Linked DNA regions of Schizosaccharomyces pombe. The gene in region 1 interacts genetically with each later gene. Each region holds a gene or a part of one and is shown on either strand. Other genes may lie near its edges.

Region 1 (7,367 bases):
TGGTAAGAAGGCAGTTGCTGTTTCTGCTTTTGCAAAAGCATTATCACAATTACCAACTATATTGGCTGATAATGCTGGCTTTGACTCTAGTGAGCTAGTAGCTCAGTTAAAGGCAGCTCATTATGATGGCAACGATACAATGGGTCTTGATATGGATGAAGGAGAGATTGCTGATATGAGAGCCAAGGGTATACTCGAGGCATTGAAATTAAAACAAGCTGTAGTTTCAAGTGGATCTGAAGGTGCTCAACTTTTGTTACGCGTTGATACTATATTAAAGGCTGCACCAAGACCCCGTGAACGAATGTAATGGGCATAGTGGTTAACAACTATTTTTTTCAAATAAAAGGACATTCTTACTAGTACTTAAAAAGATTAGAAATAAAAGGAGGCGATTACATTGTTAGTGTGACCAAAATTTAATTAAGGAATGTAAATGTATCGAGAAATTTGGCTTGTTCCTTCTTGCAAACTTGAGTTGACTTGTAATAAATGATTAAAAAGAAAAAGTTTACCTCGTAGTGACTATGAGGAGATAGCATCTAAATGGAAAAATAGCCAAAGAAATCTTCGCAAGATCTCAAGCATTTCGAAAGAAAATATCCCCATTTCATACTCATGGAATTGATGCAACCGGGGATGAAGTTTCATACTCCAAGTAACTCGTAAAATAAAATTAATAAAGCACCCAATAGCGTAAATAAACATAGGGAACCTTTTATGATTAATGCTTTTGTGAAAAGGAAATCGGATTCTCCAGTCAATGAAGACGTCCCATAAGAATGTATAAGCAGAGCTCAGGAGAGCCGAAAGAATCCATAACCAAAATAAATAACCGTGTCCAGATGTCAACGTAAATTTAGTTTGCTTTGCATGAATGATAGCAGAAAGATATATTACCGGAAGAGCTGTTGCATGTTTTAAAGCGCTTAGCAGGTTAATTTTGAATGTATGTTTTCTACGAGATAACCCGTAATGTAAGCATTGAAGTATTGCAACAATGAAAGGATAGGCCATTGCTAGAGGAACAAAAAAAGTGCCATCGCATTTTAGATCAGGTCTAAGTGTAAATTTACTAATATGACCCTGTAAGACACAACCAAAAATGTAAAAATCACCAAGTGCTTTAGCATATGATGTGAATATTTCAGAAACAATGAAATCTTTATAAGGGGAACGAAAATCTGCTTGAAAAAACAAAAATACGCGAATTATGCTTTTCCTCAACCCACGTTGAGAAGACCGGTAGCGCCATGGAAAGGGAAAAACTATTAAAATAAAAGCCGTTATTACCCAGAGAAGAGGATAAATAGGGTGAGAATAAAGGCCACCAATGTCTCCTTGAGTTTTCTTTAAAAATAGAATAAACCCAGTAGCCCAAGAAATAGACAGTATAGCAGCAAAGCAATATCCAGCATGAAAATCAACTGGGCTAACTAAATTCGCCTTGAATTCAGTATTCTCCTCAAGATCCGTGTGCCTGTTAGATAAAGGAATTTGAAGTAAGTGATACCATTTTGAATTCAGAGAACCTCGTGGATTGGGAGAAATTGGTTGGTACCGATTCAGGATGTAAATTAAATGATAACAAACTGACCATAACCAGGTACCTAAAGAATAGAGATTGTTAGTATTAGTAAATTGAAAATCTTAAGTTCATACCGACTATAACCAGAAGACCTATACGAAACGGAAGCGCTAATTTGTGGTGCAAGGGAAACTCCACGACTTCCAAATCCATCTTTAAGCCGTCACTAGGCTAGATGCATAATTTAAAGTATTTGAAGAATGTTTTATTATCTTCCAATACAATTTTTAGCGGCATTAAATGCTCAGGTAGATGTGAGAAGGGAGGAAGAGTTCGGTACCAAATTGCGTAGTCGTGCACGGTTAGCATGCGCATCAAGCTACCAAAATAAGTATCTAAGTTGTGGGAAACAAAACAGATGTAGGCCTATTCGGTTGTTTAATACAAGTGATCAACCTAATGTGAGATTGAAGAAATGCTGTGCGTAGAATTACAGATTATCGTTGCGATTTATTGCACTAGATATTCAACGTTGGATATTACTATAAAACTCAGTATTATCAAAAGGAGTTTTTAATAAAAAGACAAAAGAATATTAACTGAAGCTAAGATAATTAATTCCTACGGTAGTATTGCCTACCTGTTTATTTCTACTGTCCTTTAAAATAAATTATGTATTTCCTACACCAATCCTGAGAGTAAATTTTATGCATATTGTGAAAGCCTAGCAGATACTTTAGGGAATGACTCAATCACGAAGGATGGTGAAGCCCGATTTGAGTATGTGACAAGATGCGAAACTATATACTGAATTGAAGTATCAACAGATGGTAAAATTTCTGACCAAGGTTTGGGTGGATATTCATGAAATATAAATTTATTCCAATCTGGGAAAGTCGAAAGTTCCTTAAAAACAGTTAGCAAAATCTGCATGAAACCCTATTATTTAAAAAAAAAGTCTAAAATGTTTTGTTTTTGTTCAAAGGCTCAGATATAATGTTAAAGATTTGAAACTTACAGGCCACATGCTTGGATTTGGAGTACCCAAAGTTTGAATAATACTGCTTGTTAACCTTAATTCACTAGGCCATCCTTCAGAAGATCCATCGTCAAACAAAGCTTGATTGGAAAATAGTTCAGCGATCAGAATGCCAAATGTCCAACGATCGACTTCATGACCATAAGAATGACAGCCGAACAAGGTTTCAATTGCTCTATAATGACCAGTTCCAATCTAAAAAAAACGTTAGAAATCTTGCAGGTTCGGCAAAATATAAAACTCTCTTTAACATACTTGGGGAATGAGTTCCTGCACTTCTTCTCCTGGATGCTGTTTGGACCAAGCAATACTGAAATCAGATAGATAAGCGGGGCCATTCATTGAATCCAATAGTATATTATTTGGATGAATATCACGATGCAGAATCCCATGCTTTTCTAGGTATTCAAGGGCGCTACTTATTTGCAATACGATCTTGCATTTTGTATCAATTGAAATTTCATCCATCACATCTGATAGAACAAACGATTTAAAACTCGTTATAAGGTAAACGGATCCTGCTTCATTGTCTATGAAAGAGTCCACTATCCTTTCAATGTGTGGATGGCCTATTGACTCTAAAATAAGCTTGCCTCTCATGGCATCGTGAGGTGGCCTTTTAAATACTAAACCTTGAACTTTAATAACATATAGTTTTTTGCTATTCTTTCTTTCACCCACGAACACTTCACTAATAGTGCCATCCGTCAGGTGCCTTATATCAGTGAGCCACGGAACGAAATGACCGACTGATTTCATTAAATTTATAAATTCAATCGTTCCTGATTGATTTCACTTGAAATTTTAAGCCTATCTAACAAAATAAAAAACAGCTAAAACGTTGTAATATAAAACTTTGAAAATTACTTATCGCAAGGTGTTTTACGCAATATGTTTTTCTTTTTATGCAATGTGTTTGGAGGTGAGGCTTACTCTTTTTACAAACTTTAATGAGAGCAGACATATAGATATGTACTGGCGGTGAAGGATGGCCACCAGATGAAAGCCTAACTGTGATCTCGCATGATGATGCTAAAAAGATATTGGATAATGCTTTTAAAAAAATATAAATAGATACCATTCTTATATGTACTTTATACATTTGTAGTACACTTATAAAGTCAGAGTATGAATTTTTGTAGTAAGGAAGAATACTAAGAATTCTTTTTTTATTTTTATTTTTTTTTCGCTTTGTTTGCTTGAATGAAAAAAATATCTTTGTGATAATAAGTGTTTTAATTGTTTTAGAGATCATATATGTGTCAAATGCGTCTACATTACCTTACTCGAATTGTCAAAAATGGTGAGATGTATAGGTTTAATCTTTTACTACTTTATCTGTTTCCAAAAATCGCTGCTGTTATAGGAAATTAGAAAAAATATTAATTTATTAAAGAAATATTAATAATGATTGTCTATGAAATGTTTTACGCAATGATGTTTCGAGATTATTACTGACAGTGTCAAAAAAAAAAAAAAAAAAAAATAGTTAAATCAAGAACTGTTTCTCAGTAACAGCTTAAAAAAATAGATAAATAATTTTATTAAATATTTTAATTCATAATTCTACAAACATGAAAGAAATTACTCGTGCAAAACCATTAATAATTGAACTGAGTCAAGGTAACCTTAAATAAGCTAGGTTATGATTGTCGCGCAAGTGTTTTGTTCCAAAGAAGGTAATAAGCTTAGCGAAACGAAAACAATCCTACGTTGGCCTTTTATAATATTAATTACGGTGATTTCGTACGGGCGGTAATATTTTTTTTGCGTATTCCAACGGAAAGCGATATTGCGGTAAGCTTTATGGCAGACCACTAACGCTGTATCTTCCTTTTGCAACATTAGTTACAATGGGAAAGAACGAGCAGAAAGACCCAAACGTGTACTTTTTTGTACCAAATTTGATTGGTGAGTATTATTCGGAAGTCTTGTTACAGCAACAAAGCTATGTTGAGCAAAAAGGTCTACATTTCCTTCTTTAATTATGTCTTACCCGGAAGGTTGGTCAAAGCCTTTTCGAAATGATACTTTTTTTTGATATTTTTTTCCTATCAGCTTTTTAAAGAAAAAAAAGGCTGTATGCTTTCTACATTTGTTTTGCCATTCGATGTAAGCAATTGAGCCTACATAGAATTCATGTTGCTCAAAGCACCAACTGAACCATATTTTAAGAAATATGCGAGTTAAATTTTTAAAGCTGTCAAATGATTTTCCTTTTTGCTCTGGGCAAGCTATGAGCGGAGTATTGGATACTTTGTATGCTTTTTCGGAAGTTAATTAAAATAATGAATGAGACTTTAGATGTGCGTAAAATTATTTGTTGTGCTTAATAATTTTAAGGTGTTCTTAGACTTAACAGATTTACTTACCCTTTTGAAAATAATCTATTGCGTCAAGTCAAGTTATCTCTATTATAAAAGCATCATTTTCGTCACTTTTCAAAATTACTAAAACTTTGTGAATCATTATCTTTTATGGCCTCTTTTCTCAATATGCTGAAATTAGCGCTGGACTTTCATTCTTATAATTGTTCAGTATTCTGACTCTTTGTTTAGGTTTTACTAGGGTTTTTTTGGTACTTATTTCGTTGTACTTTATGTCATGGCACCCAAATTATTGTACTATTGTGTATTTATACTCAAGTTTACTTGACGCTTTTGATGGTTGGGCGGCGCGCAAATTGCATCAAGCCACCAATTTCGGTGCAATTTTGGATATGGTCACAGACCGATGCGCCACCTCGTGCTTGCTTTGCTTTTTATGTGCTGCTTATCCAAAATATGCTATAATTTTTCAACTGTTAGTTAGCTTGGACCTTGCCAGCCATTATATGCATATGTACAGCACTCTTCATCAAGGTGCTTCCTCACACAAAACGGTAACAAAGAAGCATAACTGGATGCTGAGACTTTACTATGGAAACAATAAAGTTTTATTCATCTTTTGCGCTGCTAATGAGATGTTTTTCGTTGCTCTTTATTTACTATCTTTTACCCCACGTACTCCTCCCAAACTTGGCTACTTACCAGTTCCTTCCTTCATTTATTCGACTGGAGAGCTCCCTCTTTCCTATCCGACCCTTCTAGCCGTTTTATGTGGTCCTATTTGCCTTGCCAAACAAATTATTAACGTTGTTCAGCTGGTGAATGCTGCCAATGCCTTGGTTAAAATGGATGTTGAGCAAAGAAGGGCTGCAAAGAAGCTTCAATAAACACAGGGTTATCCTATTTTCATATTTTCTGTTTACCAAATTTTCTATTTTTAATCAGGATGGTTTCAATCTGAACATCCTCGACCTTAGATCTGCAAGCTTACTTTGTGCATTCTCTTTGATTTTACCTCTTATAATTCAATACCTTTTTTTTGACATTTTCTCTTTCTAAAAGCCTTAATTCTATTGGGCTAAGCACTTTTGTGTTAAGCTTAGCCTTTGGGATTATTTTCTGTCACCTTTAAAAGCTTGGTTGGAGTGATTGCACTGATTAATAAAAAAATGCATCCACAACGTGAAGCCATTCGTCGAAAAGCTTATTTAGAAATAGAATGCTTTACTTATTTAAGCGATATAACTTTCACTTTACTTCAATAAATTTAATCGTTCGTTGCATTAATTTAAAAACATTGTTTATGATAAAAAAATCCTATTTAAATGTACATAGTAGATTTTTTTTTAAAAGATAAATGTATGTGTGTATTAATTTACCCATAAATAAAGCGTCCCTCAAATCTTCACCCTTTTTACACGTTCCATGTCAGTTACACTGGTCTCAGATTTTACGTTTTCTCCATCCAACATTCTATTTGTCCGCAATTCATGCTTAGCGTGCTTGCTATTTGATTTTGAAACATGTTTTCGTTTTTTATCGCCGTTTTTATTTGATTTCTTTGAAGCCTAAGTATGTTAGTCATTGCCGAATTTTGAAAATTCTGTGAAGTACCTTATTTAAACTGTGAGTCTTTTCAGATAATGCGAGATCAAGAAGGCGTTTACTTAATGTTTTTAATTGCTCAGCATTCGGGTTGATGGGAATAACGTCTTTTTCCTCGTAGACCTGATTACACTGATGTTGTGTTAGCAATAACTCAAGGGTTGGAAATGCTTTTCTTAGCTATCGATAGACTTACTTGAAAACACATTTTCTCGCCAAACTGCTTCAAGGCAGAGTATTCAAATACATGACCGCAAGGCACTATGTAGGCGAATTGGTATGTATCAGACATTACATGTCTTGTAATCGGGCATAACCATAGCACTTTACCGGAATCATCCAGCTCAACTTGAAGTTGTACCACGTCTTTCAGTGATTTTATATGAGAAGGGCTTTTCGGAACACTTGACCTATCTAACAGCATTTGTAAAATGCTTGCTTTGTTATACAGTTTTCCTAAACCACACGATACAATTGGAGGGTATAAGGGCTCATCCGTAATGGCACACTGAGAAAATTGAGAAGATTTTACAGAACGTTTAAAGTCTATATCAAGCGGCGGTACTTTGCCAGGCTCTTTCACTAATTCGTTTCGGGTTGGTAATGATCCTCCTAAAACATGTTAAAATTTAGAAGCAAAATAAACGAATCCTACCGTCATTTCCCATAGTTTACTTGTGTGTATTAAATATTACAGAGTAGTGTTAAGTAAGCATATTTCAAAGAAGCGCTTACATTCCACGACTGCATTTACTGCATTCTACTATAATGCACTAAAATTAAACGTTAGGTTTCGTTACGCAAGATATACCGAAATGTCAAATACAATTTTCGCTTCAATGATCTTCGCTTATTTTTAAACCTTATT
Region 2 (5,861 bases), 1.8 Mb from region 1:
AATGATGCTTTTCATCGTGGTATTTATGCAGCAGTTGATACAAAAAAATAATTCTCAATCTTTAACATACTTTGATCATAAGCAATGCAGACAGCCAAAAGGGCGAAGCAAATTGTCCATTTCGAATATTCAATTTCGTATCCCAGCACCCGAATAACGTTTCGGGCTGCAGGAATCAAAGTCTCAGTTTGATTCATCTCCATCGTTTTAAAGGAAGGAGCACGATGAATGAATCAACAAATCCAACTCGTTGGGTATTGGTGAAGGAAAAGTCCTTGTCGGGCTATCGGTCTTATATAGAAAATTACCGACACGCAATTATACGCTCCGAAATGAGATAGATAAATCTGGTACGATGTGAATCTTACAATAAAGTAAAAAAAAAAGAAAAGAAAAATTTAAAGTTATGAAAACTAATACTATAATTTCAAAAGCTTTCTTACTGCAGTAATTAGAAAGGCTTACTAACACTCACTATTATATTGAAAAAACTCGTTACTGGGCAGTCATTTAAGATCAGCTGTTAAACTACCAATCATGAGATGTGCAATCATACATACTATATATAAGCATCGCTTAGCATATCTACACCAAACTTTGTTAAGTGATTGCATGAGAATGCAGTGAATGGTCCGTTATACGAGTAGAGTAGAAGAACATTGGAAGAATTGATAAAATAAAAGTATCATAGGAACGGGATTCGTAGTCCAAGCGATAATCGTATAAAAGGGGATAAAAAAATTTTAGCATGGATCACCAAAATAAATGGAAGATTTGGGACGTAAACTTTCAAAATATGTATCAGTAAATTAAACGACTCTGTCGTCCTCTTCATGCGTTCATAGTCTCTCGCAAAAGTCCATGTAGATAGATTATCGGAGTCAACATGCGATGATGAAAAGTTGAATTAGGCAAAAGAGAGGCTAAAAAGAGAGAAAGAAAGAGATGCAATCAATCTAAATTGCGCTAAAATGAGCATAAAAAGGAATTAATAAAGAACTTCCAATGAAGACAAAAATGGAAGGAAAATGTCCAATGAAGATTTTCAAGTAAATGTTTCATAAAGACGGAGATTCGGAGGGTGATGGGATATTCATGTTTTCATCAGGTTGAGCAAAAGAAGCTGACCACCATCTCAGCGATGAAGGATCAGGCATTATAACATCATCATAAGGTACATAGTTAGGATTCTTGAATTCATCCTTCCGAGAAAGGAAATAGTCCCAGATACAACGAGTATGAGTGCTGACGGATGCTTGAGCTCGTTCCCGTTCAGAGTTGTATAGGAACGAACCGTATTGGCAAGAGTAAAGATGGTAAAGTAGACGGCGTAAAAATCTCTCGTTAAACTCGAAACAATTAGGAAATTGATCCATAATTTGCCAGACGCAATCTAAAAACTGATGAAAGACCGGAGACATCATTTTTTCGGAATGGTCAATTGAGAAGCCACTTAAAGCAGAGCGTACTGTTGAAAAAGTGTATTGTAAAGTCGAACTTGGTGAAGATTGGGGTGGTTCTTCTGAGTATGAGCTGTCGATTGTAAAAATACGTTTACCAGGTAAATGACAACATCTTTCTGCAAACCTATGCCCGAAGGAAAGCCAATCCTTTTCGACGAGAGCAAAAAATCCCTCAATTGTTCTATAGTAAGGATCCAAACACAATTGAGGTAGAGCACATAACTGGGAAGTTCTGTCCCATCCATCTGAGCAATGTACAAGTACATGGGCATGCCTAAAATGAACTGTTTTAACAATAAGAACCGCTCCTTGTAAAATGTTAGCCAAGTGCTTAAGCCAACTTGATCTGTTTAAGAGTTCTATCAATGGAGGTGCCGCACTAATATCTGTATTTTTAAGAGCATTCACAATTTTATTTAAAGAATCCCTCATGACGTGTATGTTATCAATTCCAAGATATATCTTCTTTGCAAAACGGTAGTGATCCATGTTTTCGCTTCCAGCGCCTACGGCAATGTTAGCCATCGCATTAGTAGAAGGCCTCGCATCAACTATAAGATTTTCTTTTCCAGGAATGATTGATGTTGCGAATATAGCTTCAACAAGTTTTTCATCCTGTGCACTTCGATTTTGACGAATACCCACAAGGGGTTGAGAGGCCCGCGTAATTGAAAACTAAATAAATTAGTATTAAAGCCTCTCAAAGTTAGTAAAACTTACAGAATTTTTATGGAGATACGTAAGGGTAGGAAATCGATTTTTAGATCTATATTTGCATCCATAATATATAACACTGTCAGAAATGCTAGCGGGAACGGCTAGAGCTTGCGGATAAGAATGGCACTCAGAGTAATTTTCGTTAATTTTAGTTATCCTCCAATTTCCGCCAGCACCATCAGCTTGGGTGGAATCACCTACTCCCATGCGCCTATATTCATTTTCAAGTAGAAATGATTTCCAAGAAGATGGCAGTTTCTCTTCATCTCCGGAGGGCATATAGTAAAATGCGTATAGCATATTTATTGAATTAATAGACATCAATTCCTGTAAAGTGTCGTATACGTCCATCGCATCCTCCGTGCTTTGAAACCTCCAACAAAAGAACATAAAGTCTCGGCATTGTATACGTATACAAAATGATTTTTCGTTAGAGCAAAGCTTTACATTATTTATCATGGAATATGCCGTCCAAATTTCCTTCCCATTTTCCGAGATTGAAAAAATAGAATGATACGCTGTCAAATGCAATGTTCCGTTCAATTCGTTTCCTTTGTTCACAAACTTCACATTTCCGACCTATTTGTTAATATTTTGATAAAATTAAGTTTTAGATCTAATCGCATTATGCTTACTTTTGCAACTTTGATGTTTTCCATCACACGGAAACTTCTTTTTATAAGCAATTGAATAAAATGAAGCAACCCTCGTACTATCAAGTACTGTGACAAAATATGAGTACAAAGAATTAAATATGTGTTTAGCGCAGAATGTAATTGCGTTCTACTTAGATAGATGAAGGTTTTAAACTATTTACGGTGGTGCTGTCGATTAATGCTGCCAAGTGCATGGCTGTAATCATTGCGGTTATCAAGGCTACAACTTGACATATCATTACCTTGTTTATTAAACAATAGAAAGGACGATTCTGAAAGATGTAGAGGAGTTACACTTATCTTTGGTATATATATGTTTAATAAATTCAACTTTATTAATTTGTGTATCTGACAAAAAAAAACGAGTGCTTGATCAAATAACTCATAAAACCCTAAATATAAAAAAGATAATAAAATAACAATAAAAATAATTAAGTTACAGTTTCATTAACAATTATGCAGCGTAGTCTGCGTTTTCCACAGTCTCGAGTGTCAATAATCTTGTAGCTAGAGTGTCTTTGCCGAAAAACAAAGTGCGGTTCCTCCAATCTTGCGTGCAAGAATCGCAATACCTTTGCATCGAGGGTGGGTATAAATCAAATTCCCTTGCTTTGTCACATCCCAACAGCTCTTGTTGAATGTATTGATATACGGCATCCTCGTGAATTATATATTCGTAATAGTTTAGAGACGCCAAATTTTCCAATATTTTTTTTCTTTTTTCTGCAATATAATTCCGTTTTCGTAACCAGTGACTTTTTTGAGGAGAACTTTTTAAAGCAAATGATTGTAAACTGTAAAAAGATTAGAATAATAATAATAACAAAAAAAAGATAATATAATGTACATGTAATCAACATTTATAATTACATGGTACTACTAACAAACTTACCATTCACTTGGATAAGTGACGTTGGGGTGCAAATAAGTAGGAAGTCCGACTAATAAATCATCAACGTCCTTCATATAAACATAACGAGCAGAAGTTTCAATATTTTTAAACTCATCGAAAACTTGCCCGACAAATTTGTTATTCTGTCGCTCATCCCAGTACTTAGCTCCAAAACAAAACATGAGAGAAAGGTTCAAGATAACCGAACAAGCAAAAATAATAACCAAAAATGAGTGAGAAAATAAATATCTTAGGAAAATGTGGAAGACAGCCCACGGCAGCTTTAGTAGATCAATTGCCAATCCTTGAAGAAAAAGCCACCAATTATTGCGAATAATATCGATAATTGACAGGTTTTTCAATTCACAGTTAAAAGGTATTTTTCTTCGATAAACCATCGATTCATTGTAGTCGCCTACTCTTCCATATTGATTTATTATCGCAATAAGCGGCTGATTTCTTGCTCTTCTAGTTGCCTTTTCCAAAAAGTTGACTTCCGTTTTTATATACTTGATAGCCAGTTTTCTACATTCAGCCTCAATAACCTTTGATATAGCAAAAGGTTTAACGATCCATTCAAGGCCTACAGATATGAGCAATCTAGACTTCTCCCTTCTAAGGTGAGATATAGAAGTTTTTGTCACGATTTTAAAGTAATCTCTATAAGGCAAAGTCCAAGAGTGATGAAGCCATGTCATAATGTATAAATGATAATCATTGCGGACGTCCATTATTTGGCAATCCTCATAGTGGTAAGATTGACATTGACCTTCTTGGTCGTAATTATAAACCTTATAATTGATGTATCGACGACTCAAATTGGTTTTTGGATCTTTTCCCCATGGTAAAAATTCGACATCATCTACTCCATGAAGATTGTAAGCACCAGACAACACGGTGCTTCTATCACCAAAAACAATATGAAACAATGCCTTAGTAGAAACATTGTACACTCGATCAAATACAATATCGTCCAGATGATGAGAACGAACAACTTGGACTGTCTCTTTCGGAAGCATAGCAATCTTGAAGTCCCTGAGGTCTTCCATAAATGAATCATTACTCTCATTCTTATTGATCAAATTAGTTAGCGCTCTACTACTCCTTCCTCTTCGAATAAGGAGATCTTCTTGAGATGGCTGTACCCCATAAGACTTGAGAGCATTATCGTCACCACCCCTTTCAAAGCGTTTTACATCATCATTCAATCTTTTGATACATGACAACAGTTGTATTGAACTGTTTGGTTTATCGGCAATGTAATTGCACAGTAACACATTAAGTCGGTCAGTTAGAGCTTTCGAAGAATCGAGATAGAGACGGAACCTTACAGTCCCAATGTTCTGGATATTCATGTAAAAATAATCACATTTAGTACTAGCAAATTGTTTTACGTTTAAAATGCTAGAAATGGGGAAATGCTCAATGAGGACCAATCCATTGATGTTGTAATATATGTAAATCCCTTTCATAGTGCAATACATTCGACCAGGCATACGTATTTGATCCTCTCTTTTACTACAAACACGGCATACAAATAAAACGGTAGATGCTTCCGATTCACCAAATATACCTCTAAATTCAGCATTCCTCAACTTAAGCTCAGAAGGAAGTTTTTCAATGTGAATTTCTCTAGCTAAACGTTTATAAGAAGGATTTGATAGATCTTCAATGTACACGTTCTGACGCTCTAAAACATGGCCGTAATTGACTGAACCCCAAAAATTTGCCAGTAAGGCGCAAGGAGAATTACCATGAAAAAAGGCTTCCTGGTCCAAAAGGCTGGTTATCGTTTCGTGAGTCAAATTTGTTATCAGTGGTGCATTGACTAGGGTCCATGGAGCAAGCGGATTAAGGAATTTAGCGCCATTTATGGAATTTGAAAGATACTTTGGAGGAGGAACAGTTGAAATTGTGGGAGATCGCATTATAGTTGAAACTTCATAATTGTTTGGACCACATAACAATCGTCCCGAATAAGTACGACGAGGACGATAATTTTTTCCTATTTTCCCCGTAGAGTTTGAGCGCCCATTGACTTGTGGATTTATAATTGATGTAGCTTTAGCAGAAAACGATGGTAAGGTAGGAGACAAGATTCGGTTAGCAGATATCCCGGAATTGATACAGTGT

The links. Genes that interact genetically often act in the same process or in processes that back each other up.
Region 2: mutations in csk1 (region 1) and ymr1 together harm fitness more than expected from each alone (negative genetic interaction), as found in Schizosaccharomyces pombe (one large-scale study listed by BioGRID).

What each region holds. Positions count from the first base shown.
Region 1 is NC_003424.3:646,068-653,434, forward strand, and holds csk1 (cyclin-dependent kinase-activating kinase Csk1), read right to left. Parts: upstream 3,499-7,367; 5' UTR 3,327-3,498; coding exon 2,823-3,326; exon of another isoform or gene 2,763-2,822; coding exon 2,547-2,762; exon of another isoform or gene 2,435-2,546; coding exon 2,234-2,434; downstream 1-2,233. Other genes in the region: chaperonin-containing T-complex beta subunit Cct2, read left to right, coding at 1-310; erd101 (EXS domain-containing protein), read right to left, coding at 526-1,610, 1,663-1,741; phosphatidylinositol synthase (CDP-diacylglycerol--inositol 3-phosphatidyltransferase) Pis1, read left to right, coding at 4,421-4,478, 5,126-5,781; DNA replication termination factor Rtf2, read right to left, coding at 6,292-6,462, 6,509-6,631, 6,696-7,111, 7,155-7,167. UniProt on the Schizosaccharomyces pombe protein: Acts as a CAK-activating kinase that specifically activates crk1 of the crk1-mcs2 CAK complex.
Region 2 is NC_003424.3:2,481,908-2,487,768, forward strand, and holds ymr1 (myotubularin family phosphatidylinositol-3-phosphatase), read right to left. Parts: upstream 3,010-5,861; 5' UTR 2,840-3,009; coding exon 2,816-2,839; intron 2,760-2,815; coding exon 2,184-2,759; intron 2,139-2,183; coding exon 1,059-2,138; 3' UTR 501-1,058; downstream 1-500. Other genes in the region: C-22 sterol desaturase Erg5, read right to left, coding at 71-203; ltc2 (BAR and PH domain-containing protein), read right to left, coding at 3,291-3,630, 3,729-5,861.